Linked DNA regions of Diceros bicornis minor. The protein of the gene in region 1 binds, or shares a complex with, the protein of each later gene. Links are inferred from orthologs where the notes say so. Each region holds a gene or a part of one and is shown in the gene's direction. Other genes may lie near its edges.

Region 1 (7,063 bases):
CATTCTAGTGGGAAGCCACAGAGGTTTCAACAAGGGCATGATGTGATCTGATTTATGTTTTAACTGAGCTAGATGAGAATTGATGAAGAGTTAGGAGCATGAGGTTTGAAATCAGACAGCTGGGTTCATCCTAGCTGTACCACTTGATATTGGTGTGACCTTGGGCAAGTTTTAAGAACACTTAAGCCTCAGCTTTCCTGTGTGTAGAATGAGAATGATAATAGTATCTACCTCACAGGGTTGGTAAAGAGTTAAATGAGATCATCTCAGGCCCTGATTTTTGAAATGCTGGCTAGTATTACTTTAGAGTAGTGGTAGAATGGAGAGGAGAGGCAGATGTGAGAAATGTTTAGGGTGTAAAATTGGCAGAATTTGTGACTGCTTAGGTATAGTAAGTGAGCAGAAAGCCTTGCTCTTTGGGAAAAGTTCTTAATTGAGCCTCAGTTTCTTCATTTGTAAAGTGGGGATTCTACTGGTTTTTTATTTATTTCTAATAGCTTTCTAATTTATTTACCTCACAGGGCTGTAGCTTGTGAGCATCAGCTGAGGTAATGTGTACCTTTTAGCTCATATCCTTGTGGAAGCAGAACCCGATTAAGTGGCTGACTTTTTATTTGGGAGCTGCAAGCCCAGGGTAGTGAAAATGAGGGAGAGAAGGAAGGTAAGGCAAAGGAAGATGCAGTACATTACATCCCTGGCAACTGTTTCACCTTGAGCTAAGAGACATAGCAGGTCACTTGCGTATGGGACTTTTCTGAAAGGGTTTCGAGGCAAAACTACACTTCAGAGTAGTCCATATGAGAAAGAAAGAAGGGATTATTTATCTGTCCAGCTTCCTCTCATTTCCTGTTTCCAGACCGTCAAGGCTTCACCCCATGGGGAACTAATTTACCTGTGCTTCTGAGTTGTGTGGCTTCTCAGTGACTGATCAGCCAGCAGTTCTCACACCCTGAGTTGTATTTCAAGCAACCCATAAAGGGAGGGATGTCCCAGGGTGGATGGAACACCACCCAAAGACAGAAATTGAAGGGGCAGTGGAAGGTTCACAAGGTTCATGTCCTTGTATAAAATATAAAAGTCGTGTGAAACCAGTATCATTTTTGACTAAGGAAGTACCAACAATGTTTTAGGATGATTTGTTTGACTTTACTTTTTATGGTTATTTGAAAGGAGAAAGTGGCTGGAGTTAGGACACAAAATCCTAGATTTGAATTTATCTGAGAATTTGGACTATGAGCATGGCCGTAGTAGGCTTAATAGGAAAAGGTTGATAACATTATGAATAAGGGAAAGATAGGACCTGATGAGTAATATGAAATCAGGGGAGGGTTACTTAAAGATGGCTTTGGGGGCCAGCCCCGTGGCTTAGTGATTAAGTGCGCGGGCTCCGCTACTGGTGGCCTGGGTTCGGAACCCCGGGCGCGCACCAACCACCGCTTGTCCGGCCATGCTGAGGCTGCATCCCACATACAGCAACTAGAAGGATGTGCAACTATGACATACAACTATCTACTGGGGTTTTGGGGAAAAACAAAAAGGAGGAGGATTGGCAATAGATGTTAGCTCAGAGCTGGTCTTCCTCAGCAAAGAGAGGAGGATTAGCATGGATGTTAGCTCAGGGCTGATCTTCCTCACAAAAAAAAAAAAAAAAGATGGCTTTGAAATTTTGAGCCAGGATGACCATAAAAATGGTAGGAAGTACAAATGAGAAAGTTTTAAGCCAAGGCTATTTTTATTTTATTTAAAACACCCAAAACTGATTATTATTATTAAGTGTATACGGTAAAAAGTATTAAGTCCTCTATCACCCCTACCCAGTCTCACTCTCTAGGTAACCAGTACTGAATTGTGTGTTCTTCTAGACTTCTTCTAGGCCTACCCAAGCTCACATTGACTTAAAAATGTATATGTGCAGATGAGGAAATAAACTATGCAATACTGTCCTGCCATCCACTTTTCTCAGGGTCTGGTTAGGAATCTATGCATATTTGATATTTTTTCAACTTTTTATTGCAAATGATTTCAGACATCCAAAAAATTGAAAAAATAAAAGGAATATCCATATACCCACCACCTAGATCAACAGTTGTTACATTTTGTCATATTTACTTCCTCTGTCTCTAGCTACAGCTTTTCTAAATAAATTATAGACATCATGACACTTTATCTCTAAATATTTCACCATGCATTTCTTAAAAATTAGGACATTCACCTATAACCACAATACCATTATTGTACTTCAGAAGATTAATATTTTTATACTATATTGAATATCTCCAGTTGTCCCAAAAATGTTATTTAAAGCTGTAAGGAAGCTGTGCTTTTCAAACTGAGATCCAGTCAAGGTTCATACATTGTATTTTGTTATGTTTCTTGAGTCTCTTAATTCCCAGTGTCACCTGGTTTTTTTTTGAAGAGACTAAGTCACTTCTCTTGTAGAATATCCCACTGGATTCATCTGATTATTTCTTCCTTGTATCCTTTAATTAGTTCCTTATTTCCTGTATTTTCTGTGAACTGAAAGTTGTTTCTAAGGGCCTGATTAGATTTAACATATTTGCAAGATACTTTGTAGCTGTTGCTGTATACTTTATATAAAAAGTGCATAATGTCAGTTTGTCCACTATTAGTGATGCTAAATTTGATCAGTTTGTTAAGGTGGTGAGAGGAACATCTTTTTCCATTTGCAATTAGAAGTAATCTGTGGGGTAATTGGCATTATGTAAGCATTCCAACATTGATGATCATTGCCTTAATCAGTTATGTCTTTGAGAGTTGCAGAATGGTACTTCTCTTAGTTCTATTACTGTCTACGTTTATTAGCTAGTTTCTGTAAAGAATAGCTGTCCCTTATCAACTGGGAATGAACTGTGATTCTTCCCAGAAAGGCGTGTTAAAACTTAATTCATCCTTTTCATTTACTAGTTTTCACAATAAAAAGTTGATGTAATAGTGACCCACATTTGATATTTTAAGTGTTTTTAATGTTTAAGAATTGAGAGTAATTTATTGGTCTTTTGATTCTAATTTGAAATGTATAATTGAGTGAATAATTGATTTATACTTGTGAACTTAAGTTAAAAGCTTGCTATATTGATATCATTGCATAGACATTAAAGAGTTCCTGAGTCACTATTTTCATCAGTTTAATTTTTTAGATTTATAAATTACTTAAGTTCTCAGAAAATTTTGTCTTTTTAGATCAAACAGTTGTACTTAAAATTAAATATATTATTTAAAGCAGTTAAAATTATATGTTTGAAGGTGTTTAACTTTGTAAATGAGATCAAACATTCATTGCAGCCCTTTAAAATTAAAACTCCAAATAGAATAAGATGTCTAAGTTGAATGTAAAAGTTTGAGGAAAATCTAGGCTTTTTGAATTTGTAACAATAAATCAAGTATTAATATTTGAAAACTAGAGTAAATCTCTTTTCTATGCATAAAAACTACTCTCAGATATGAAAATAAAAATACTCATGGGCAGTGGTAGTGTCCTGCTTTGCCTGTCTTCCCCAAAGCATGCTGATATTCTTGATTTTTGATATTCTTTTCCTTTATTTTTGTAGTGCTGGACAGGGTGCTCAAGTCTGTAGCATTGCTGGTCACGTGTTATTTCTCTGAGCTGTGTAGAAATTAGCCATTTTATGTAGGGTTTTGATCAAGTCAAATAAACTTGTTCAGTGGTAGAAAACCATGTGGGTGAAGCTTAGGTGTGTGAACCTTAGCTATATGGTGACTTTGGTGCTTTATTTTTCTTGGAAATGGCGTCCTTCTTTTTTTAAACTTTCCTTCATAAAGACATTAGTACTGTTTTGTGAGTGTGGCAGATCTCCTTAGGCCTTAACATTCCTTTTTTCTTTGGAAAAAACTTCTTTTCTTGAACGTCGTTGGAGCTATATTTTGACAAGCGTAGCTTATATGGAAGACCTTCCTCCAATCAGATTTGCATTGTTAACATTCTATATTGGAATGTGTCTGTGCTTTCGGTTAACTGACGTTTTTCAGTTTTGAAAAAGCAGTGTGTTTCTTTTCTACTTAGTTCAAACCTAAAGGCAGTTGTTTGGTTCGAAATGAAGCCTTTTAGCTTAAAGAGTGTCAAGGTTTGTGCACCAAAGAGCTCTGTACGCCTAGAAGGTCAGTCATGTTCATTAGGCCAGAGCAGAAGGAAAGTCAAGCTTATGGATGAATGCTCACATACTCTTTCAATTGGCAATGGAGACTACTTTTGGACAAATAAAGACACGTTGTGGGATTATGTGCAGACTCTTTCTGGTAAGAAGTCAGCAGTTACTAAAAATGTATGTTTTTAAAACATTTTAAAAACTGATTACAAAAATAATACCCATTCTTTGCAGAAAACTTGAGAAGTGTAGACAGATAAAGAAAATAAAAATAGTAATCCCATTGGAGTTTTTTTTTTTTTAAAGCTTCTCTTGATGTAAAAGAACATAGGTAAAATAATGGTTGGTTAACATGTAAAAGGCTGTTTATTGAGCTCAGTTCTCTGAAATGTCTATAGAAAAGGGAACTTCAGAGTCTCTTGTCAGCCTTAGAGTCTAGCTTGCTTATTTATTTATTTATTTATTTATTTATTTATTTATTTATATTTGTCTTGGCTTCTCTCCTTTCCTGGAAGATTGTAGGAGACTTTTACTGTTCCTAGAGGATAACAATGGAAAGGAGAAGCTTAAACTCTTTAATGCCTTGCTGAATTGTTGGGTGTTTCCCTCTACCTTGTATTTAAATCACTGTTTGACAGTTGGGCCCAGAAGTCCCATTAAAGAATGTCATCTAATCTAGAGAGGGTATATTTTAAAAAAAGCTATGGAGATATCTTGATGGCAAACTAACAATTTTTGGTATTTGGTTTAAGTTTAGTGTACTTCCTTATGAGGGAAGATAAATTTTGTAAACACTTTAGGTTTCCTAAAATTTTTTTTTTTTTGGTGAGGAAGATTCACTCTGAGCTAACATCTGTTGCCAGTCTTCCGCTTTTTGCTTGACAAAGATTAGCCCTGAGCTAACATCTCTGCCAGTCTTCCTCTACTTTGTATGTGGATCACTGCCACAGCATGGCTGATGAATGGTGTAGGTCTGCACCTGAGATCCAAAGCCACGAACCCGGGCCGCCGAAGCAGAATGCACCAGACTTAACCAATATGCCAAGGCCCAGTCTCTGCTAAAATTTTTAAAGTATTATGTTCATTGTTAAAATTTTATGATGAATAATATACATGGAATTGAGAGTTCTGCTTCAGTATAAACCCATACTTTGCTTTCTGGGGTCCTGAAATCTGGTGTCCTGTTTTTACACATTTTAAAGTAACTGGTCATACCTAATACATAGACACAAGCACAGGGAAAGAGGCAAAATGAGGAGGCAAAGGTATACATTCCAAGTAAGGGAACAGGACAAAACCTCAGAAAAGGAACTAAGTGAAACAGAAATGAGCAACCTACCTGACAGAGAGTTCAAACAAAGAGTGTTAAGGATGCTCACTGATCTGGGGAGAAGAACAGATGAACTCAGTGAGAATGTCAACAAAGAAATGGAAGATATAAAAAAGAACCAATCAGAAATGAAGAATACAATACTGGAAATGAAAAATTCACTAGAGGGACTCAAAAGCAGAGTAGAGGATACAGAAGAACGGATCTGTGAGCTGGACGAAAGACTAGAAGAAATTACCCAAGCTGAACAGGTAAAAGAGAAAAGAATTAAAAAGAGTGAGGACAGTCTAAGGGACCTATGGGACAACATCAAGCGCACTAACATCCGTGTTATAGGTGTCCCGGAAGGAGAAGAGCGAGACAAAGGGGCAGAGAATCTATTTCAAGAAATAATAGATGAGAACTTCCCTAACCTAAGGAAGGAAACAGACATCCAGGTACAGGAAGCACAGAGAGCCCCAATCAAGATAAACCCAAAGAGGCCCACACCAAGGCACATCATAATCAAAATGTCCAGAATTAAAGAGAGAATCCTAAAAGCCGCAAGAGAAAGACAAGTTACATACAAAGGAAACCCCATAAGGCTATCAGCTGACTTCTCGACAGAAAGCCTACAGGCTAGAAGAGAGTGGCACGATATATTTAAAGTGCTAAAAGGAAAAAACTTACAGCCAAGAATACTCTACCCAGCAAGGTTATCATTCAAAATGGAAGGAGAGATCAAAAATTTCCCAGACAAGCAAAAATTAAAGGAGTTTGTCACCAAGAAACCAGTGCTACAAGAAATGTTAAAGGGACTGATTTAAGGGGAAAAGAAAAGACCACAAATAGGAAAAATTCTCTATTTCCATGATAAGAGGGTAATGGATACAAATGCACAAAAAAGAGGTTTTTTGATATCAAAAACATAAAATGAGGGAGGAAGGGAGTTAAAGAGTGGAGCTTTCAGACAGAGGTCAAACTAAAGAGACCATCAATTCTGTATGGAAGGAGCAAGGAACAGAGAAAGACTACTAAAACACTGAGAAAAAAAAAGTTAAAAAATGGCAGTAAGTACATACTTATCAATAGCCACTTTAAACGTCTATGGACTAAATGCTCCAATTAAAAGGCACAGGGTGGCTGATTGGATAAAACAACAAGACCCATATATATGCTGCATACAAGAGGCACACTTCAGACCTAAAGACACTCACAAACTGAAAGTGAAGGGATGGAAAAAGATACTCCATGCAAATGGCAATGAAAAGAAAGCTGGGGTAGCAGTACTCATATCAGACAAAATAGACTTTAAAACAAAAACTTTAATAAGAGGCAAGGGCATTACATAATGATCAAGGGAACAATCCAACAAGAGGATATAACACTCGTAAATATCTACGCATCCAATGTAGGTGCCCCTAAATATATAAAGCAATTATTAACAGACGTAAAAAGAGAAATAGACAGTAACACGATAATAGTAGGGGACTTGAACACTCCACTTACACCAACAGATAGATCACCAAACAGAAGATCAATAAGGAAACATTGGCCTTAAATGACACACTAGAACAGATGGACCTAGTAGATATATACAGAGCATTCCATCCAAAAACCGAAGAATACA
Region 2 (7,479 bases), on another chromosome or scaffold:
AGTTGGTTGGATTAGTGGATCTCTGAGGCCCCTCCCACTTCTAATGTCTGATAATCTGGAGGTGAGATTTATAATTGTGTTTACCAATTTTCTGGAATACATTCTTTATCCCATACCCCAAACCCACATCTGGTTAGAAATGTAAGAGATATTCCGAAGGCTTTGGGCCCCATTGCTCCTAGAACATTACAGAATGTTATAGAAGTTCAAAAGAAGATTCTCAATGCTGGTCATATAAAAAAAATCAAAGAGGATTTTGAGATCTGGCTGTGACACCAGAGATGATGGGTTTGTCACATGCAAGTACAGGGAGACGTAGAAAGAGCGAGAGAAGAGAGCTTTAGAACAGACTAGAGTGTCCCAAAGGGCAAGTTTTACTCTTATCTACATTAGTGTGCTTACCTGTTCTCTTTCCGTTGGCTTATATTTCCATTTGCCTAGCTCTGTATTGGCAGAGATCAACTTTCTTCTTTGTAAAGTACTGAATACCCAGCAGCCTTGAAGGGTTTCACAATAACAACAATCGAAAGGATGCATTGGCAACTAATTATCAATCGGAATCACCTAGTAAAATTACCTAAATTGTCACCTGATATTTCCATAGGCAACATATTTACCATGCCTGGGAGAAGCTAGCTTTCTTTTCTTACCAAATTTAGTGTAATTCAAATAAGAAAATTAAAATGTCTCTGCCTTTACCCCATTTGTTGCCCATAAAAGTCAAAGTAATCTTTAAAAACATAAACGGGATCAGATCATTCCTGTGAGTAAAATCCTTCTGGTTTCCTGATGCACTCTGAACAGTTTTAAAGCCTCCCAGACCTTGGCTCACCAGGCCTCTGCTTTCCTCTTCAGCCTCTTGGTCTCCGCAGCCGCCTCGACTTCCTTTTACCACCTCTAACATGCAAAACTCATTTCTTAACCTCTGTCTGAAATTTGCTGCTCTCAACTTCTCATGGCTCTCTCTCTCTCTTCGGTCGGTCCTTCTTGTCCTTCTCATCTTTGCCTAAGTGCCACCATTTTAGAGAGGCCTTCTTTGACCTCTAAGTAATTTCCCCTATCTTCCCCCAATCCAGTTGCTCTCTGTCACTTTACCCCATTAGCTTCCTTCATGAAAGCTATCAAAATTTCTCATTATCCTTTTATTTCTTACCTGAATGTTTATTCGCTTGTTTTATTGTCAGTCTCTGCCACCAAATGTTAAGTTCCACCGGGCCAGGAACCACATCTGTTTCATTCTGTTTCATTCATCAGTGCATCCCCCACTGTCAACATGGGGTCCCGCCCATAGCAAATGGACCACAAATAAAACTGACTGGATGACCACCTAATCCCATACTGGACTGGGCATCAGAAGACTCAAATCCTGATCCTATCTCTAGGAGCTGGGTGACCTTAAATTATTTAGTTACTTTCTGTGAAATTAGGGGAATGTATTAGTTAGAACATCCTTACTGACTCTCAGCTTTGGAAATTTAAAGGTCTATGATTATTATCAGTAGATTTGGAAATGTTGTTACTTTCATAGATTCTAAGGGAGAAGGAAAATCAAACGAGATAAGAGTACAATAGATTTGATATCTATTTCTGTATTCTAAAAAATGAACTCTGATCTCTCATCTTTCCAGAAATCAGAAGATTTTTCAGGTTGCAATCAAAAGATCAAAATAATACTCAAATGCTTAGTCATGAAACATGATCTCTGATTTATATTTAGGGGAAGTTTGATGATCTGTTGATAATTTTCAAGAGTCAGAAGAAAGTTTTTCTACTATGTAGGAAAAGCAGGAACAACACACTTCAAAGGCAGGAAGTTACTGCAACTATACCAAAGAAAAAAGCCAGCTGCATGCATTCTTCAGCTGAACTTAAAGATAAATACATAGTCTGGTAAAAGACAACATTATACAAAATGACAGACCTGGGCTAAGCTTGGAGAGGGCACTTTAACAATGGAATTAATCAGGTGACAGGCAGCTAGGTGTGTCAGCGCACTAAGGAATATGAAGGTTTTTGAGACAGGCTCAGAGGGTGATTTTTAGTGGTACTATATGCCTGGAGGCATTTACTTTCTTCTCCATTTTCAAAATATTCGAAACTCAAATATATATTTTAGATTTTATCTTCCTACACATCTTATACTTCAAGAAATGCATCCTGTGAGATTTATTTAGAATTGGGAATAACAGAAAGTCTTGGCTGGCCAAGGATATCACCCCATCTGGTTCCTAAGGAGACCCATTTTACAATCAGTGTTTCTCAATTTTTTGTAGCCTATACCCTCCCAGTTGAGAAGATATGTTCAAGCCTTACTTTCTACAGTTTGTAGTTCAAAAACAATAGTTTTTTTTTTTTCCCCAAATGTGAAGTTATATTATTGAATATATTCTTCTCCAACTACCCTTCCATTCGTTTGGGGCCTCCTTCCCACTAAGAATCAGTGATTTACACAACTGTTCTAACTTGGCAATAGCATAACTGCAGCATAAAATCTGTTGTTTAAAACAAGCACTCCAAGCCTCCTGAAATACAAGCCATCTGTGTGTTTGTTTTACATTTATCTTCAATAACCTGAGAAATGAACACCGAGTTCTGGGACGGGTGGGGTTTGCAGGGGTGGAGATGGTGTGTCTCCTGTTTGTTTCAGTGCACACCAGGCCCAGTGCTACAGGAAAAAGAAAAAATTCCAAGAAAGGATTGTGGAGGCTGCTCTTTATGTGAGTGATAGGGCTATCCTGTCCTGAATCTAATTACAAGTGGGTGAAAGGATATCAGAAACCCACAGGATGGGGGGTGGGGTGGGGGGGTAGTGTCTCGCCTGCCTTCTCCATCACAACATTGCTTACCAGAATGATTAAATGTGCAGCAGAGTGAACAAACATTGAGTATCTCAGGGATAACAAACTGAGACAGGCCAGAAACAATTATTTATCGAATACACTTACATATCTTCCTCAGTGTCGGGTGTTTTTTCCATTTATTAACACAGCCGCTTTGTTATTCATCTCCCCATGTTACGGATAAGGAGACAGACACTCACTTGGAGGGGAGAAGAGTGAGGTTCACCCCTGGGGGCTGGGAGTGGGAGTTCACCTCCCTGGAGCATAGCTTTAAAGGGAGTCCGGTTTGAAATCGCCGCTGAAGGCATGCTCTGCATCCAGCCTCGGAAATGAAAGTAGGATTTTGGAGAATCCCCTAGGGGGAAATGTTTAAAAGGAGGAAAGCCTAGTGACTTGGGGGTAAATTTGCTATACACTTACCAACAGCCCCCTTCAAGTGAAAGCATCTAGGGCTATGACCAGAGCCCAGCTTTGGGCCGTCTGCTCCTTCTCTCGGGGACGGGGTGGAGCCCTTCCGAGAGTGACTGAGGGCGGCCCGGAATTGACAGCTGTGCGAGGAAGCCAGTGCTTTGTCTTCTCTCCCACTCTGGGGAACACGAGGCAGCGTTGCATCCGAGCCTGGTCTAACGCCGCCAAGAACAGGCGCTGGCAAAGAACCCTCTTTCCAAACAGATTCACAGAGAATTAAGGGGCGGGTGGGGGCCTCGGGGACCTCCTAGGCTAGGCCTGGGCCCCAGTACCCTCGCAACGAAAACCTGCGACCTTGCTTAGAGGCCGCCAGGCCTGGCTCCGCCTGCGCTGGCCGGGCGCTGCCCCCCGGTGAGACCGCGCCTTCCGTGTAACTCTAGCGGGCCCAGGCAGGCCGGCTGCTATGGTAACGCTGCTCGCCCGGCTCTGGGAGGCGGGGAGGAGGGAGGCGGGCCTTGGCGGACGTTGCTCAGACTCGGTTTGGGGTGCTGCCCCACTCCCAACTAATTATTTGCCAGAAAGGAAGCCGTGAGGTAGATGTTTTGTAAATGAGGGGCCCAGGGGCCGCAGTAGTATAGAAGGAAGGGGTCAGGCTCTCCCCCTAAGTCCGCTCCTGCCAAGGATTTTAACGGTCCTTCAAAGTAGGGAGGAGGCAGCGTTGTAATTTGGGAGATTCGGTCAGACGGGCCACGCCCTTTCCTCGGCCTTTCGTGTGCCTAGGCCACGCCCACCCGAGGGGAGCCTAGTTCTAGACTACGCCCCTTCCCTGGCGCGCGGAAGGAGGACCGACATGGAGGGGTAGCGATCTTGACTGAATTGAGCCAGCGCAACTAACCGCGCGGAAGCCTAGGGAGGGCTGTGTTCCTCAGGCGTCCTCCGAGGCTGCCCCGCCCCGTCGTTTTCGCGGCGCCCGCTTGGTTTTGCGCCTGCGCAATTGCTCCCGCGAGCTCAAGGGCTGGTCGAACACGTACGGAATCGCCGGGGCGCGCAGAAGGGGAGGAGCGGGCATGCTCAGGCGCGCGCGCGTCTGGAGTGTTGCGAAGGGAGCAGGCGAGTCGGGAGGCTTGGGTGGATAGAGAGGTGCGGGCCAGATTGTTTGGTGGGCTGTGCGTAAGGCCGCTCAGGGCACCAGGGCGCCCATCTCGTTGGCCCGCTCGGTGCTAGGAGCAGATCCGGGGCAGGAGGGGAGCGCTGGATTAGGGGCTGTTGCTGCAGCTGCTCGGGAGTCGCCCGTCAGCCCGCGGTTCGCGGGCCCTGCCGGTCAGGGTAAGCGGGCCGCGCTTACCAAAGAGAGGAGCGTGAGATGAGAGTGTGGGAGGCCATCGGGGCCTGCGGGAGGAAGGGGGGTGGGAGCGTGCGGGAGGGGCAGGGTGTGTGGGAAGGGAAAGAGGTCCATCGAATAGTAGTAGTAATAACGACCACCACCACACGATAATAATATTCTAGTGATATGTGCCAGGACTTTACAAAGCACCTTATATGCAGCCTTCTGTTCAACCTCGACTGCGATCCTCCGAGGTGTATACTGTGAAACTCATTTTACAAGATAGGAAAACTGAGGTACGAGAGAGGTTAAGTAACTTAGGCAAAGCCTCACAGCTAATCGGTGGCCTGGCTTCGAATTTACGTCTGTCGGGCCCTAATGCGTGATATTTTAATATCTTTGCTTTACAAAAAAGGAAAAAAGAACGAAAGAAGGGTGGTTAGGAGGAGGGGAGGAACGAGTGTGGTTTGAAGTGGGAGCGTGATCCAGAACGGGAACAGAAGGATGGCGGGAGACCGTGAGGGAGAGCGAGGACCTGAATTTGGAACCTCGCGGGCCTCCCCCTCCTTGGTTCTTGAGGCCCCACAACTTTTCCTTGCTGTTTTGTGGGTTTATAAACAGCACCGTTGCTCTTTAGGAGCCAGCTCACAAGGCTGGGCCACGTGGGTGGTTCTAAGAACTGGTTGGACTGTGGTTCAGTCCGGGGTAGTGTCTTCGGACGCTGTGTTTTGGAGGGAGGGGAGGACGGCGGCCGGGGCCCGCCTGCCGTGTAGCGAGGGGACCCTCTTTCAAGCAGCTGCCGTTTCTTCTGACGCGCTGCTGCTTACTTTTTCATCTTATCCCCTCGCAGCAAAGCCTTTGTTCAGTCCTCTAGAATGGGGAAGTGATGTTTATTGTGCCCTTGCATACTTAGGCTTACACAAAACAGAACCAGAAAAACAACACATTCTTTCCCCAAGTCAGGCCAGGCACCCTGGATTGCTTGCAGAGAACACTTTCGAGTGGCTTTATCACTAGTTGCTCTTCAGGGTAAATAAGGAGCTTTGTTTTGGAAAAGTTTCTAGGTCATCAGGAGCGTTCTGAACAGATTGCCAGGGACCTCCGTAATTCGTAGGGGTGTGTGTGTGTATATGTGTATGAGAATGAGAGCGAGAGAGAGAGCTTTCCTTCTTGCACAGTCTCGTACTACTGTGTGTGTGTATGTGTATTCTCATACACATACAAGAGAGACAGCTTCTTGCACAGTCTCGTACTACTGGGAAACTACAAGTATCGTTTATGGCTTGTGTTGTGCTTTCATATGGAGTAGAGTAGCTTATATGCGAGTCAAGTTTTTATAGCGTGGGGTAGCTCATGTGGAGTCAAGTTTTAAAGTCAACCTGTGAGGCAAACATTGCATGCGATCAAAATTATCCTTAAAAATTCCTTAGGAAGGTGCAAAGTTGGAGAAGGCCATTCTGTTTCTCAGTAAATCCAGCATAGTCAGTTTTTCCTTGAGCTTTGAAACTTCGCACTGTTTCTTTGGTTGTAACTCAGATAGGGTAATTCGGTTACTTTTAGGGGCTGTGTTGAAGAAATAAACATATTTGAATGGGGTAGAGTCATGCCACACAATGAAGTGCACTATGAGATGCTGGCACTGAGAGGCTTCAGAGGAGGAAGAGGAACCAAGGGGAACAGTATGTTTTTGGTTCCCATCTTAGGCTCGCTCTGGAGTATGTGCTCACTGAGTGGAAAGCGGCAGGCAGAATTGCCAGCATTATTATTATTACTTCTCTCTCTTTTTTGGCTAGCATATCCAGTAATTTATGCTAAGTTAAATGTACATAAGGTGTGTCCTCTTTAGTTCCTGAGTGGCACTACATTTAGGGGCTTGCAAGCTATTGTTTATTTCCTCACGATTTTCCTAGATAAGGATTTGGTGCAAGAATGTCATATATTTTTGCCAGTGGTCTGCTTTTGCATTCCCCATTTGTCAGATATGTATAACAATCGTTAGCTTTGTAACAGTGGTTGGCTTTTTAAAAAAAATTCTCTTGGAAATGAAAGTCATGATATTGCCTTTTTAAATTAATGTCTCTGAATTTCAGTTTCAGTAAAATGTGGAGGAAGATAACACTGTACAAAGTTGTGAGGAGTTTTGTCTACTGTTATTTTGAAGCAAAACCCCACATTTCATATCATATCACCTATAAGTATTTTGCATTATCTCTAAAACATAAGGACTCTCTTTTCTTTAATTAATTAATTTTTTTGCAGGGGAAGATTCACCCTAAGCTAACGTCTGTTGCCAGTCTTCCTCCTTTTTTTCTTCCTTTTCTCCCCTGCAAAACCCCAGTACATAGTTGTGTATAGTTGTAAGTTCTTCTGGTTCTATGTGAGCTGCCGCCACAACATGGCTACTGACAGACAAGTGGTGTGGTTCTGCTCCTGGGAACCGAACCCAGGCCACGGAAGCGGAGCACGCTGAACTTTAACTGCTAGGCCATCAGGGCTGGCTCAGGGACTCTCTTTTAAAAATCATAATTGCAATATATTATAACACCAAAAAAAAGCAGAAAAGACAAAAAAAACCCCGACAAAAACCCAAAACCAGCCATTCGTTGTTCAGACTTCTGCTTGTCTCAAAAGTCATAGTGGGGCTGGTCCTATGGCATAGCGATTGGGTTCAGCACGCTCTGCTTTGGCGGCCTGGGTTTGCAGGTTTGGATCCTGGATGTGGACCTACACCACTCATCAGCCATGCTGTGGTGACAACCCACATACAAAATAGAGGAAGATTGGCATGGATGTTAGCTCAGGGACAGTCTTCCTCAAGCAAAAACAGAGGAGGGTTGGCAACAGATGTTAGCTCAGGGCAAATCTTCCTCAGCAAAAAAAAAAAAAAAAAAAAAAAGTCATAGTTTT
Region 3 (7,388 bases), on another chromosome or scaffold:
GATGAGGGGGTTGTGAAGGAGAACTACCAAGACATATGCTCAGGATAGCTTAGGGCCTCTATTGGATTGAATCATGCCTCCCCAAAACTCATGTATAGCTGGAACCTCAGAATGTGACCTTATTTAGTGAGGCAGTCTTTGCAGATGTAATTATTAAGATGAGGTCATACTGGAGTAGGTGGGCCCTAAATCCAAGGACTAGTATCCTTATAAGAAGGCCACGTGAAACACAGACACACAGGTGATACTGAACCTCTTAATCTCAAGTTTGTGTGCCCAAGGCACAGAAAGCCAAACACCGAGACATTGGTGCTTGGAGACAGAGAAAGGCTCTGTTCAAGTTGGCCAAGACGAGAAGGTGGGAGCACGGGCTGTCTCAAATCTGCCTTCACCAGAGCAAAAAGCAGGGGGGTTTTATAGAGCTAAAGGGCTTGACAGGGGGAGCTTCAGAGAAACAAAGGGGTCACTCCTGATAAGCCCCTGGGCAATCTGCAAGGGCTGCTGGGGGCTGGCCATCTGGTGATCACAACTTCCCAGGAGGCGTTCTCTTTCTTCTGCAAAACAAGCTCTCAAATCCTCTCCACCCAAGTCACCCCTCAAGTTAAACAAGAAAACTGCAAATTGACAAGATTCATCTATGTCTGTGTTGGGAACAAGGTGAAAAAGCAATCATGTTCTTATTGAATATCTACAGTAACCCTCAGGTACCCAGCTCTACCAGGAAGAAGGCCATGTAACTGCAGAGGCAGAGATCGGAATGGTGCAGCTACATAAGCCAAGGGATGCCAGAGACTGCTGGCAACCATCAGAAGCTGGGAGGATACAAGGCAGGATTCTTCCCTGGAGTCTTTAGAGGGAACATGGCTCTGCTGACACCTTCATTTCTGACTTTTAGCCTCCAGAACTGTGAGATAACAAATTTCTGTTGTGTTAAGCCACCTAGTTTGTGGTTATGAAACCAGTAAACAGTTAGCCATTGATGATTAGGTAGCTAGTAACTAAAGTTTTGTTTTGTAATTACTGATTATAGCTTTTAGTTGTTCACCGGTCCATTGTTAACTGCTGTTTAGGCAATACGCTATCTGACTCCCATTAGGTTCCTATAGATAACATCTCTCTAGCACCTGGGTCACCATGGTAATGGATGTTTGAGCTGTTTTTCAGGAATTAGAACCCCTTGTCCACTTCAAGCCGGTTGAGACCACCAACCCACCAACTGGGCCTGAGCAGACGTCTGATAAGTGACCTTTTGATGTCAACAAGCTAAAAATTCCACCCTCGGATCATGCTAATGCCACCATTATGTGAACATGTATCCTATGAAGAAGCCTGAAGTTTGACTACACTTGTGCAGATCATCAATTACCTCGCCTCTCCTCACCTCCAACCATGTATCTCCACTTTTCAGACCAACTTGCCCCCATAAATATCCCTGAATCTCCGTTTTCAGGGCAGCAGATTTAAGACTTGTTCTCCCACCTCCTCACTTGGCTGCCTTGTGATTAAAACTCTCTCTCTGCTGTAATCTCGTTGTCTCGGCAATTGGTTTTCTGGGTGACAGGCAAAAATGACCTTGGTTTGGTAACAGTTACTTGTTACCAGGAAACTAATGCAAGGCCTGAGAGTTGTTTTCAGGGAACATGTAGGAAGTCTGGAAATCTTTTTTTGTTTTTTTTGAGGAAGATTGGCCCTAGGCTAACATCTGTTGCCAATCTGCCTCCTTTTTTCCCCCTTTTTTCTCCCCAAAGCCCCAGCAGATAGTTGTATGTCATAGTTGTACATCCTTCTAGTTGCTCTATGTGGAACGCTGCCTCAGCATGGCTTGACGAGCGGTAAGTAGGTCCGTGCCCAGGATCCAAACTCTCAACCCCTGGGCCACCGAAGCAGAGCTCATGAACTTAACAGCTACCTCACCAGGCCAGCCCCCAGATATCATCTTAATTTTGAAAATGCTCCTATAGGAAGAAAAGTATTTAGTTCTTTTTTGGGGGGAGGGGTAAATATAATGTTCAAATATTTTGAAACATCTTGAAAAAAAGTAAAACCTATTCATGTAGGCTAATTGCTGTAACAAACAGACCTCACAATGTAAAATGGCTCTGTTGAAAAGAAATAACAGGCCCAAAATAGAGGCACTTGTGTTAAGTACCACCAAGACTTAATACCTAACCTAAATACAGTTTCAGCCTCTCCCAGGAATGGAAATTTAAACCAACTGGTCTGGAATTTCCTGATCAACACTAGTGAGGTAATCTGCCTGATAAGGCCTCTTGCCTTCCTCTAAGGGAAGGTGATGTTCAGGCAAAATAACCAATAACCATTCTATAGATAAGAGAGACAGGGTGAGTTTTACTTGAGGCAGGGTGAGGATTATAATCTGGGAAGGCAGTTTCCAAAAAGGAAGAAAATGTTCCAGAGAAGCATGGTTTTCAGTCCAGTCTTATACCTTTTGAGAACAAAGCACATACATTAAACACACCCAAGATACATATTCACCAAAGTTTCAAAGATGTATTTAGTTGCAAATTAGCAGGTCAACATGACTCTGATGTTGGGAAATAGTCTAATACAGCTGTTACCCACACAGCGTAGGAGGAGTAGTATGCATTCTTATCTTAAGAGAATGCATTCTTGGGGCTGCCCCGTGGCCTAGTAGTTAAGTTCGGTTCGCTCCGCTTCAGGGGCCCAGTTTCTTGGGTTTGGATCACGGACATGGACCTACACCACTCATCAGCCATGCTGTGGTGGTGACCCACACACAAAATAGAGGAAGACTGGCACAGATGTTAGCTCAGGGCTAATCTTTCTCAAGCAAAAAAAAAAAAAGAGGATTGGCAACGGATGTTAGCTCAGGGCGAAAAGAGAGTGCATTCCCTAATGGTTAAGCAGATCTACAATGCATGTTTGATAGGCCAGAAGTCAGGCTTCTTTAGTTCAAGCCAAACCAGTTTTAAACCTGAATACTTACCCCATATACCTCAATATGCGAAAATCTCTTGTCAGTAACCTTGCCTGAAATGATCTACTCTTGGTCTCACCCTCATTCTGCCTATAAAAACCTTCCAGGGACCAGCCTAGTGATGCAGCTGTTAAGTGCTCTCGCTCCGCTGCTGGTGGCCCCGGTTTGGATCCCAGGAGCACACCAATACATCGCTTGTTGGGCCATGCTGTGGCAGCGTCCCACATAAAGTGGAGGAAGATGGGCACCGATGCTAGCTCCGGGCCAGTCCTCCTCAGCAAAAACAGAGGAGGATTGGCATGGATGTTAGCTCAGGGCTGATCTTTCTCATGCACACACAAAAACCTTCCATTGTTGTCCAAGTCCTTGGAGCTCCTTTCTACTTGCTAGATGGGATGCTGCCTGATTCATGACTCACTGGATAAAGCCAATTAGATCTGTAAATTTACTAGATTGAATTTTTGTACTTTAACAGTTCAAACACAAGACAGTTTTTTTACTATAGTAAACAATAAAATGAGAGTACTTTCAAGCTAATTGGCAATTTCTCTTCCTTCACTTTTACTTTAGAATTAAGGTGGCGCTTAACTAGATAATTCTTGAACTGCCACCATTGTTGAGCGCAGGGCGGAATTCCCAGGCCTGCCCTGTGGGCACGTTTCTGGAGGTCTAGCTAGGAGCTGGGCAGGTGTGGGAGACGTCACTCGGCCGTTCTCAGCCCCGAGAGCACATTAGAGTCACCTGGGAAAGGGTTTCTGTTTTTTGTTTCCTAATACCTGAGCCATCATCTCCGGGGCAGGGGCCCGGCACCAGCATTTTTAAAGGCTCCCCGGAGGGTGCCCACGCGCCGCCGACACCCAGGATCAGCGCCCCAGGGCAGGCTAAGTCAAAAGTCGCACAACAGTTTTATAAGTGAATATTTATTGGAAAAATTTCCCCGAAATCTCCTTAAAAATAACCGTGTACAAAAGCTCTCGTACAATATGACTCCATTTCCGCAAAAACGATTGTAAGACTGGGAATTAACTTGGGTTATGAGAAAGGATGGTGTCTTCAGTTATTTGCATTTAAAAATTTTTTACCATAAATAGTCATGTGCGGTACATTAAGGGAGCTATTAGAATCTAAGGTGCATTTCTCCCGACAACAATGAAGCCCGCATTTGGGACCGTTTGGTACCAGGCAGTGCCCCGGGGGCTCACGAGCCGTCCTCTTTCCCTCGCACAGGCGCAGACGCACCCCCCGCGCCCGGCTGCCACGCGGGTCTTCCTCCGCGCGCGCCCAAACCCCTGCCGGCGGCTCCCGCCCCTCCTGCAGGCCCCGCCTCCACTTCCGGCCGCTTCGCCCCGCCCACCCAGCGCCGCCGATCCTCTCCCTGGCCTCGCTCCGCGCCGTCCCTCTCTTCCGCGGCCGTCTGGCTTCCCGGCGTGTTTTGTTTGCGACGCTGTCGTGTCACAGCGCGCTTTACGGCCGCGGGGACGGCGCGAGCCGGCGGCAGGGCCACTTCGGCCGGGAAGCAGGACGGGAAGGAGTTTGATGCCCGGCGGCGGTGTGAGCGCGGCGTTTGGCCGGCTTCTCACCGCCGGGGAGCAAAGGGGGGCCCGGGAAGCGGCGGGGTCGACGTCCAGGAGCGGCCCGGGGGGCTCCGGCTCGGGCGGCGGCGGCAGAGGCGGAGCAGGCGGGCCCGGGCCGGGGAGTGGCGGCCCCGGGGGCCCGGCGGGCAGGATGAGCCTGACCCCGAAGGAGCTCTCGAGCCTGCTGAGCATCATCTCGGAGGAGGCGGGCGGCGGCAGCACCTTCGAGGGCCTGTCCACCGCCTTCCACCACTACTTCAGCAAGGCTGACCACTTCCGCCTGGGCTCGGTGCTCGTCATGCTGCTGCAGCAGCCGGACCTGCTGCCCAGCGCGGCGCAGCGCCTCACCGCGCTCTACCTGCTCTGGGAGATGTACCGCACCGAGCCGCTCGCCGCCAACCCCTTCGCCGCCAGCTTCGCGCACCTGCTCAACCCCGCCCCGCCCGCCCGCGGCGGCCAGGAGCCCGACCGGCCCCCGCTCTCAGGTACGCCGGGGGCGCGCCGCCCTGCCCCCGCCCGGTGCGCGGTGGGGAGACTTGGAGTCACCAGTTTTCCACCTGCGCTTTTGGGAATGCACCCGCAAGTGAAATTATCTCCTTTTGAAATCCGCCCCCTCGACACTACCAAGTGTGGAGAAATGGGAGCTTAACGATCAATTCATGGCACCGAAAATTATTCCTCGCAACGGTACAGACCGTGAAATCATGTAGCTCAGTGTGGGGCTTGACATTTTTAGTGCTTCAAATACAGCTCTTGCTTGTAAAGCCCGTCTGAGGTGTGTAAAATTGTAGCTGATGACACAGTGGATCTGCCCCTGCTTTTCAGTCTCAGAGGAGTAAATAGAAGTCGTTATTCAGAACCCGAAGAAGTTGTTGGACGGAAATACACATTAAATAGCGGTTAAGGACTTTGCAGCCACCTTTGTTGGGCTGCTAGGTATACTTGGATAATGTGATGGGGGCAGAGGATAGAAGGTAGTCTCGTTCACCGCTTAGATTAGAAAACGCATGACTACTGGACGTTATGTCAAATACAGCACTGGTAAGATCTGATCAGTGGGTTCCGTCCGAGGCTCCCTTTCTTTTTCTTTTGAACTCAAGCAAGAGATACTATGTGAGACGTGACTTGAGGAGAAGACTTGCAGCCAGGAGGGGAGAAAGGCACAGAGGCGATGGTGATGAGGGATAAATGTACCTAGAAGACTTAGACAAGGACCAGTGTTGTAGAGGAAGCAGGCGGAGGTGGGAAACAGCTTGATCTTACAGTACTTAACCAGTGGGTAAAAGGGCAGGTCACTCTATGGGTAGGGGCTGCTATACAAGGAGTCAAAGGTTAAGGTAGCGGATTTTGAGTTAATAGCGGAGTTTTTCGCAGCGCAGGAGGGCTTCTACATTATAAGCCGGCTGGTGTTCTGCCTGGCATCCCCTCTGGATCTAAAGCGTTTTCTCTTTGGTTTTCTGCATTGCTCTTATCAAAGGGGCAACCTTTGTGTTGGATGAGATGCCCTTAGGGTACAAGTACTGAACCTGGCTTTCAGGAAGTTTGAGAATGCCCAGAAAGGGAATGCAGCATGTGTATGAGTGGTCAAAACCTACCACCCTGGGGTGCCCTTACCAGAGGATGGGGACAGTGTGGGATTTAGGTCAGAGGACCCTTTGAATTCTGAAGGACAGGTTAGGAAAAGGACATATAATGTCGCTTTCAAATGCAAGGAGTCTATACCCAGATGTAGTCCATAGACTGCATTGTAAACACAAATTTGCCAGAGAAGGAATCCATGGATTGGTTATTTTACCTGTGTCTCAGTTTCTTCATCTGTAAAATGCAGATGATAATTCTTAGCTGGTAGAGTTATTATGAGGAATAAAAGTATCTATGATGAATGTTACCCATTATTATCATTACTTTTATTAAAGGTAGGGACAGTGCTGAAATACACAGCCAAGGGAGTATCAATGCCAAGGCTTATGATACTGTACGTGTAGGGTGAGCATATAATGGGTATATTTTTAATAAGTTTTTCAGATGATTCTAACGCAGAGCCAGAGTTGAGAATGTATCTGGAAATAAATAAGATGGCTTCTCAGCTCTCAAGAAGCTTGTGTTCTGGTTGGGGAGGCGTAAACATAGGATGCAGTGTGGTAAGGGCTGTATGTAGTAGGTGTCTCAGAATGCTTGGGAGCACAGAGGAACGTCTACCTGCATAGCTTGCGAGATTCTCAGAGGGAGTGATGTTTTTGGTGGATGTTGATTAGAGATGGGGGGTGGTTTGGGAAGGATGTGGCCCTTTATTTCTTTTATTCTGTTTTTTTTTTCTTTTTTTCTCCCCAAAGCCCCCCAGTATATAGTTGTATATCTTAGTTGTAGGTCCTTCTATGTGGGACGCTGCCTCAGCATGGCATGATGAGCGGCGAGTAGGTCCGCATCCAGGATCCGAACCGTTGAACCCTGGGCTGCCGAAGCAGAACGCGCAAACTTAACCACTGCGCCACCGGGCTGGCCCCTATTTCCTTTATTCTTAAAGAACTGGGTGTATTGGATGTTTAGAAATCAGGAATCAGAGAAGCTGAGAGATTTTGTGCAACTGGAGTGTAGGATACATGGATTGGAGGGGAGTTCAAGAGATGGGATTAGGACAGTGGGTCAGAACCAGATTATGAAGAGCCTTATAATGGTGCAGAAGTTTGGGTTTAATTCTGTGTTAACAGGTTAAGTAACATGAGCAGATTTGTACCTAGAAATATGATTAAATAGTAAGTGGGAGTCTGGACTGTGGGTCAAAACTAGGCCGGAGTCAAAACTGGGAGCTGGGGAAATCAGGAAGGCTGTCCTGTAGTTGGGGGCAGGGAGGGTGG
Region 4 (7,404 bases), on another chromosome or scaffold:
TTCCCTTTATATTTGGGGAGATGTTAGAGTTGAACACTAGTATATTTAACCTGTTGCTGACTTTTCTTAAACTTTGGCAACTTAAGGTATCCTGGTATACGTATTAATTAGTGAAATATTTATCACCCTACTGCATAGACTTATTTGTGATCATTACTGTTTTGTTTAAATGGAACTGATATCACGTATCCTCACAGAAAATTTCCAATGCAGTTTTTGAGAACTAAATTAACTATTCGTGTTTAACCAGATAATTGACAGACGGTTTCTTTTTGAAACAAAATGCTTTTTAATTATTAATCAAGTTACTCGCTTTTTATTTATTTATTATTTTTTTTTGTGAGGAAGATCAGCCCTGAGCTAACATTGATGCTAATCCTCCTCTTTTTGCTAAGGAAGGCTGGCTTTGAGCTAACATCTATTGTCAATCCTCCTCCTTTTTTGGTCCCCAAAGCCCCAGTAGATAGTTGCATGTCATAGTTGCATATCCTTCTAGTTGCTGTATGTGTGACGCGGCCTCAGCATGGCCGGAGAAGCAGTGCTTCTGTGCACGCCCGGGATCCGAACCGGGGCCGCCAGTAGCGGATGGTGCGCACTTAACCGCTAAGCCACTGGGCCGGCCCAAGTTACTTATTTTTGATTTCAAAAGCTGCTATGTTTCTGATGTATAATGAACAAATGTGTGTAATTTTTTTGTGCCAGACTTTTGACTATTTTCAAGCACCATGAGATGGATGGTTAGAAACAATAATATTAAGGTTTCTATTTAACCCTTTCAGGACTGAACTGTATCTCTTTAAAATTCTTTTTCTTGTGTTATGATGTTTGCCATTCATATGCTTATGTTTAGCTTATTTTTTGTACCTTGAGCATACTCTACACATTCAGTCCTTAAGGGGTGTATTTTACAAACTGTGTGCTGTAAGGTTTATTAGCAATCAGATAGAAAACTGATTAAGTTTATACTATAATTTTGTAGAAAAAAACCTGCACAGCTCTGTACTTCATCCATGAACAATTTGCAATGTGGGCAGTTTCAAGGAATAAATAAAAATAAAATGTTAAAACAAAAAAGGAATGTAAAAATTTTAAGTTAAACATAAAAACAGTGAGAGCAAGAATTATTGAATAGGATGGAATCAGTTTGCAGTATGGTTTTTAGATTGTTTCTTCCAGACCCATGGTTTCCTTGCAATCTGTATACTTCATAATCTTCACTTTCTTCTGTACTGAATGTATTTTCACTTTAAGTTCTTCAGTTAAAAAGCAGGCTAACACTAAGCATTTGAATGGCTAATGCCATTACTGCTTAAGAAACACAGATAATTCTTTCATTGACCTATCATGTGTATTTATAAATTATTTTCATTCCTGTTATCAATTCAGTATTTAATTCATTTTTCCCTTTAAAACAGATTTCAGTTAATTTTTCACTGCCAGCAAAAATGTATTTGCTGATTATATGTGAGTTTTAAATTGATTTACTATTATGTACTGATTGAATCTGGTAACTTTTGGGGGAGTAATTTTACTTTTTTTTTTTTTTTTGTGAGGAAGATCAGGCCTGAGCTAATGTCCAATGCCAATCCTACTCTTTTTGCTGAGGAAGATTGGCCCTGGGCTAACATCCATGCCCATCTTCCTCTATTTTATATGGGATGCTGCCACAGCATGGCTTGACAAGCAGTGCATCGGTCCGCGCCTGGGATGCGAACCTGTAAACCCCAGGCCACTGAAGCGGAGCGCGTGCACTTAACCACTACACCACTGGGCCGGCCCATAATCTTACTTTTTAAGTGAAAGATATCTTATAATTCATACATAGGCTAGAATAATTAATGTTTTTATTAAGGAAACAGCTTAACCATGTATTTAAACATTCAACCAAGTTGATGTAGTTGAGAAAGCAGAGTTAAAAAGTATTTTGTTGGGCCGGCCCCGTGGCTTAGCGGTTAAGTGTGTGCGCTCCGCTACTGGCGGTCCGGGTTCAGATCCCAGTCGTGCGGCGCACTGCTTCTCCGGCCATGCTGAGGCCTCGTCCCACATAGAGCAACTAGAAGGATGTGCAGCTATGACATACAACTATCTACTGAGGCTTTGGGGGAAAAATAAATAAAATTAATAAAAAAAAAAGAATGTACATAAGGAAGACCTGAGGGTACTGGCTGATGAGTTGGACCCAGGGTGTGAGGAATCACAGAAGATTCCTAGTTTTCTGCCTGAGCAAGTGAATGGACTGTTGGTGGTACTGTTTATGGAAATCAGGAAGACCGTGGGAGATGTTTGGATTCAAACGTTGTTTCAGCACATTAAATTAGAGATGCCTGTCCTTTGTATCCCTTGCCATGATAAGATTTTTAGTATTGTCTACACACTTTGACAAACAGGAGGCCTCCCTTTCCTACAGCTAGTTATGAGTCAACAAACTCATTCGTCCTATTAGGTATACAAGGAATTTACCTTACACACACTTCAAAAACACACAACATCTACTCAGGTATGGACTGTTTTACAAGTAAAAGTTAGAAAATCTATCAAAGTGAATAGGTGAAAAACAAAACAAAACACCATGAACTATCTACCAAATGGGCAAATTTGATCAATACTGGCAATAAAGATGAACTTTTTGATGCAATAGGGCAATTTAAAAAATACAGCATTTAGAGTGCTTAATAGAAAGTCATAAATATAAGCCCTTAACAAATGTTAGCTCATTTAATACCTAGAACCCACCTCTAAGGCAGGTATTAAACAAATTTATATAGATTGGGCACCAGTAACAAGACAATTTAAAACTTGTTCTTTAACAAGGTCTAAAGTAAATTTATCCTAAACAAGCAGTGTCTTCAAAAAAGCAGTAGTCTCAGTGCATTCTTCTTCCTAACACTCCTACCCTACACATTTGTGGTGAAAATGTTTGTTGTTCTGTCTCTTGCAATAAAATATCAAGGTAACAAAGCCCTCAAATTAGACCCTTTGGAAGTGATTTCTCCAATTTCACCAATGTTCATGCTATTTAAAACTTGTGCTTTTTTGAGTAAATATAGTGATGGTAAGAATAAGGTCCAGCTTTTGGTCTTAACAAAGTCCTATACAGGAGTCAAACTAACAGATTAGAATGGTAATACTTGATGCTACTATATGCTTATAAGCATATCCCGTTTTTATCATTCCATCTTATGATTCCAAATATCGAGTTATACTTTCAAATTACTAATCGCTAGATATACACGCTCAGTAGTACATAGACACATGTGCATGTATTCATACACCTATACGTATTACACATACTTAGAGGCAGCGTCAGCCTTTTAACACACATCTTAACAGGGAAGAGAAAGCTCAGAGCAGGAAAGGACTGTGGGGGGCGGGGAGGAAAAGGGAGGGAAGGACATAAGGAAGTGTTGATCCTCCTTGAAGTTTCCTGAAGTAAAAAAGACAGTGAGGCACAATGTTTAACGAAATGAATAACCAGGCAAAACATTTTCTACTGGCTACATCAGCACCATTTGGAGTTTAAATAAATTCACACATCTACTAACATCTCAAAATAGCTTGCCTCCCGTAAACATGACAAAGTCACCTTTTATTTTATAGTATCCTTATTTTTCCTGCTATTTATGAGTGACGGAGGCCGTCTGCCTTTCCATGATAAATTTTAAATTGGATTACAGTGAGTTTTTAGCAGAAGTTTTATTTACTCCACACGAACTGTACTTTACATTAACAAATTCTATCACTCAAACAGAAAGGAGTAACAATGTTCACTTGATGGAACAGCACAATCCCAAGCGCACACGCGGAGGCTCCGCGTCCCAGACCGCCGGGCAGCACCCCGGGAGGCTCACCGACGCTCAGAGGAAGGAAGAGCCGTTACTCCACGGAGAGCGAGCCCACCTCCCCTGAGCGGCAGGTGCTCGTCCGGGGGCAGAGGTCGGCCTCCGCTCCCCCAGGCCCGGCGGCACCGCGGCGGGAGCGCGCCGCTGACCGGGCCCCACCGCCCGCAGGTGCACGGGGGGCGCAGGCGCCGGGCGGGGGGAGGGGGAGGAGCGCGCCGCTGACCGGGCCACACCGCCCGCAGGTGCACGGGGGGCGCAGGGGCCGGGCCGGGCCGGGGGAGGACGGCGGCCGCGGGGACGAGTCCCGCACTCCCCGCCCCGGGCCCGCCCGGAACCCGTGGTCCGCTCGCCGTGACGGCCGCGGAGGAGCCGCAAGCCTCCCGGAGCCGGCGGGGACACGACGAGGACGCGTGGGAGAGAGGCCGCCCACCCCCGGCCCCGGCCCGGCCCGGCCCGGCCCAGCCGGCCCGCCGCTCCCACCTTCCGCCGCCGCCGAAAGCGAAGCCGGACGGCGGGGGTCACGGTGGGGGTCAGAGGGTAAAGGTCCTGCTCCCAGCAGCCTCCGCGGTGGATACGTCGCCATCTTGGATCCGCGGGACAAGAAAATTCATGCGGTGAGTTTTTGGCAAATTTTCGGAAGTCTGGCAGCGGGGCGCGCGGCGGGGGCGGCGGATTCGGGGCCCCGCAAGGCGGGGGAAGGCCCCGGGGCCGGTGCGGGCGCGCCGGGTGCCCGCGTGCAGCGCCCCGGCCCGCCGCTTCCCGTTGCTTTTGTCTGGCTCCAGTCGAGAGGGCGAGCGGCGGCGGGGAGGGGGTGGCGGCGGCGGGCGGGTGCGGGGAGGGCGGGCGGCGCGGGCCGGGCGCGGCTTCGGGGTCGGCGGCCTCGGCGGCGCCGCTTCCCGGGCGGAGGAGCCTGCCGCGAGCCGGCCGGCCGGGCTGCCGCCTCCCGAGCCCGCGGCTCGCGCTCCGGCCCGGCAACTTGTGTGTGTGTGTGTGTGTGTGTGTGTGTGTGTGTGTGTGTGTGTGTGTGTGTGTGTGTGTGAGGGAGGGGGGTGCGGGGGTGCGGGTGCGGGCGGGCCCGGGAGCTCCCGTGCGCGGTGGCCGGCCCGGTCCTGGCGCCGCGGCCGGAGCGCCCGCCGGGCTCCACTTCCGCCGCGGCTGCTCCACCTTCGCGTCTCGGGTCTCGCTCAAAGTTTCGCGGAAGAAGCGAGTGGGGCTCGCAGAGGCCCGCCCGAGTCGGCCGAGGCTCTGCGGTCGGTCTCGGAGGGAGAGCCTCGCGCTCACTCCGGGTGGCTGGGCCTTGCGAAGGCGAGTTCGAGTTTCCTTTCGTAAAAGCTTTTCCAAGAGTTTGCATTTATTCCAGGCCCTGTGGGGACGGTGTTACCACCACCCAGGTCTTACATACGGGTACCACCCTCTCGGAAGGAACCTCAACATCAACTTCCTTCGAATTCTAGGGGACACCTTCACTTTTCAACATCCAGAAGGCCGAATGCAGCACATTTTGTTTCGTTTTCGTAAAAGTGGTCGAAGAATCCTACTCCTTTCTTAATCTTCTGGACGGTTTCTAGTAATTCAGTACCCTGATGTCAACCCTTAGATTCTTGGCGAAATGATAGAAAGTACTGCGTTAACAAAATCTGTTCAGAAGGAGGCCATGCTTGAATTTAGTGTTCAAAGTTGGACACATTTTTTGTCATGCTGGATATCAGGAATTTCTAGACTTCTAGAATCGTAAATGCAACTTTTGATTTGCCTTTTGAAAGAAGCTAAGTGTAAATGATCAAGTATGGGGGGATACAAATTTGAAAAGTATCTATTTACATGCTAAGTTCACGTTGGGTTGTTTGGGAATATTGGGTATATTTGAAAACAGTTGTTTCCCAAACGTCAATGCCCACATCTCTTGCAGTTTTGGAAGATACCTTTATCCTAGATTTGAAGGATTGATGAAGAATCACAGTGGACTGAAATGTTAAATGTTTACATTCTGATTCTTGTCATTGAAATATTTCTTAATGAAGTAAGAGCTTTGGTAGGTTTTTCGTGTTGAACTCCTCTTTAGTTTGTACTTCTTTTGTAATATTAAATCTAAAAGAAAAATACAAAAAACACGTAGAAAAGATAACTCTTGCTCCACTTCTTTCTTGACTTTTTAAGATCCTTGTTTAATTTTAAAAAGGTACGTTTCTCTCTCTTTTTTCCTGAGGGCTTGAATTGCAGTGACTTCTGTGAATACTTTGTATTTTAGACAGCCGTTGAGAAACTTACACACTTTTTGCATCCTAATTATTACTGCATCAATAAAAATAAATTAATGTAAGCATCATTTGTTGGCAGAACTCTTTTGTTCTAAGTATGCTGTATAGAGGTATCTGTAACCTAATCTGGTACTCTTGAGGAATGAGAATTGCCTGTATCTTTAACCAAGCAACAAATACAGCCTTTTAAAAATTTTCAGTTTCTATAATACTTTCGTTTTAAAGTAAATTTATATGGTGGAAAAACGAGGGCAAAATGCATGAGTGATTTATGTTCTCGGTCGTTTGAGAAGTACTTGATCTTGAAGATAAAATAAAACTCAGAATGATATTTCTCCCCAAGAGAACTAATTACCTATGTTTTTACTTAGTAACTTTGGAAGTTTAATTTACTTCTTGATTTTTCAGAGATATTTTACAGTTATAACCTGAAAATTCTCTTTGTTCACAAGTAAATAAAATAGTTGAGATTTATGAATAGATTTTATTAGAAGTGTTGCTAATTAGAAGTGTTTTGGTTTTTATCTCTTCAGTAGGTATTGGTATTAAAAGTACTTGAGTTTTGAAAGACTCGTACAGAATTTTTCACAGCCCGTGGGAAGTTAACAGTTTCACCAAACTTTTTGGTGACAGATTTGCTTCATAAGGTTTTCTGATGATACAGAAAAATATAGAAAAGTTATGCTTCACGTCTATATATGAAATAATGAGTAGACATTAATAGACTAGTAAAAATAATTTATTTTTTGCTCTTTAAAAGCAGTGTTAAATAGTATTTTTTTGATTGTCAAAATTTTTAACTGTAAAAAGTTCACTCTGTTATGAGTACATATTTAAAAGCAAACTTCCCATGTGCTTGCTTGAATAGGCATTTGAGGACAACTTATGCAAATAGTGATACAGTCTTGTAGGAAAAGATACTACTAAATAAGATTTTGTTTGTTACCTAGACCTCTAGTGGCTTTTATAACACAAAGAAGCAAAAGAAACCAAAGCAGCAGGTAGGGCAGTTTTAGAGGCCAAGTTCATCTGAGTTCCACTTCAGTGTTTGAATAGGATTACATACAATATTGATACCAAGGGATCTGGTGCGAAGATAGTAGTCGTTCTGGTGATGATCCTTGCTTACTAAGGATGATTTCTACCTGTGATAGTTAAAGGAATTGAATTTCATTGTGACTTTAATAGATGCTTTGAAAAGAGCTGTACTACAATTGATGTCTGTTGTAGAAAGTCTGCCTTTGAAAAGAAATAGGATGGACATTAGGGTTTTAAGGTTTTATAATTATTTTTTAATTTTTACCTTG

Evidence for each region.
Region 2: CNOT10 (region 1) and CNOT8 share a complex: the UniProt entries of both Homo sapiens proteins name them as parts of the CCR4-NOT complex. The link is inferred for Diceros bicornis minor from reciprocal best matches to the Homo sapiens genes CNOT10 and CNOT8.
Region 3: CNOT10 (region 1) and CNOT11 share a complex: the UniProt entries of both Homo sapiens proteins name them as parts of the CCR4-NOT complex. The link is inferred for Diceros bicornis minor from reciprocal best matches to the Homo sapiens genes CNOT10 and CNOT11.
Region 4: CNOT10 (region 1) and CNOT2 share a complex: the UniProt entries of both Homo sapiens proteins name them as parts of the CCR4-NOT complex. The link is inferred for Diceros bicornis minor from reciprocal best matches to the Homo sapiens genes CNOT10 and CNOT2.

The regions. Positions count from the first base shown.
Region 1 is NC_080741.1:36,557,960-36,565,022, forward strand, and holds the start of CNOT10 (CCR4-NOT transcription complex subunit 10), read left to right. Parts: upstream 1-4,058; 5' UTR 4,059-4,073; coding exon 4,074-4,275; intron 4,276-7,063. UniProt on the Homo sapiens protein: Component of the CCR4-NOT complex which is one of the major cellular mRNA deadenylases and is linked to various cellular processes including bulk mRNA degradation, miRNA-mediated repression, translational repression during translational initiation and general transcription regulation.
Region 2 is NC_080740.1:71,228,249-71,235,727, forward strand, and holds the start of CNOT8 (CCR4-NOT transcription complex subunit 8), read left to right. Parts: upstream 1-4,468; 5' UTR 4,469-4,574; intron 4,575-7,479. UniProt on the Homo sapiens protein: Has 3'-5' poly(A) exoribonuclease activity for synthetic poly(A) RNA substrate. Its function seems to be partially redundant with that of CNOT7.
Region 3 is NC_080779.1:12,246,019-12,253,406, reverse strand, and holds the start of CNOT11 (CCR4-NOT transcription complex subunit 11), read left to right. Parts: upstream 1-4,370; 5' UTR 4,371-4,495; coding exon 4,496-5,018; intron 5,019-7,388. UniProt on the Homo sapiens protein: Component of the CCR4-NOT complex which is one of the major cellular mRNA deadenylases and is linked to various cellular processes including bulk mRNA degradation, miRNA-mediated repression, translational repression during translational initiation and general transcription regulation.
Region 4 is NC_080756.1:1,258,950-1,266,353, reverse strand, and holds the start of CNOT2 (CCR4-NOT transcription complex subunit 2), read left to right. Parts: upstream 1-4,399; 5' UTR 4,400-4,448; coding exon 4,449-4,453; intron 4,454-7,404. UniProt on the Homo sapiens protein: Component of the CCR4-NOT complex which is one of the major cellular mRNA deadenylases and is linked to various cellular processes including bulk mRNA degradation, miRNA-mediated repression, translational repression during translational initiation and general transcription regulation.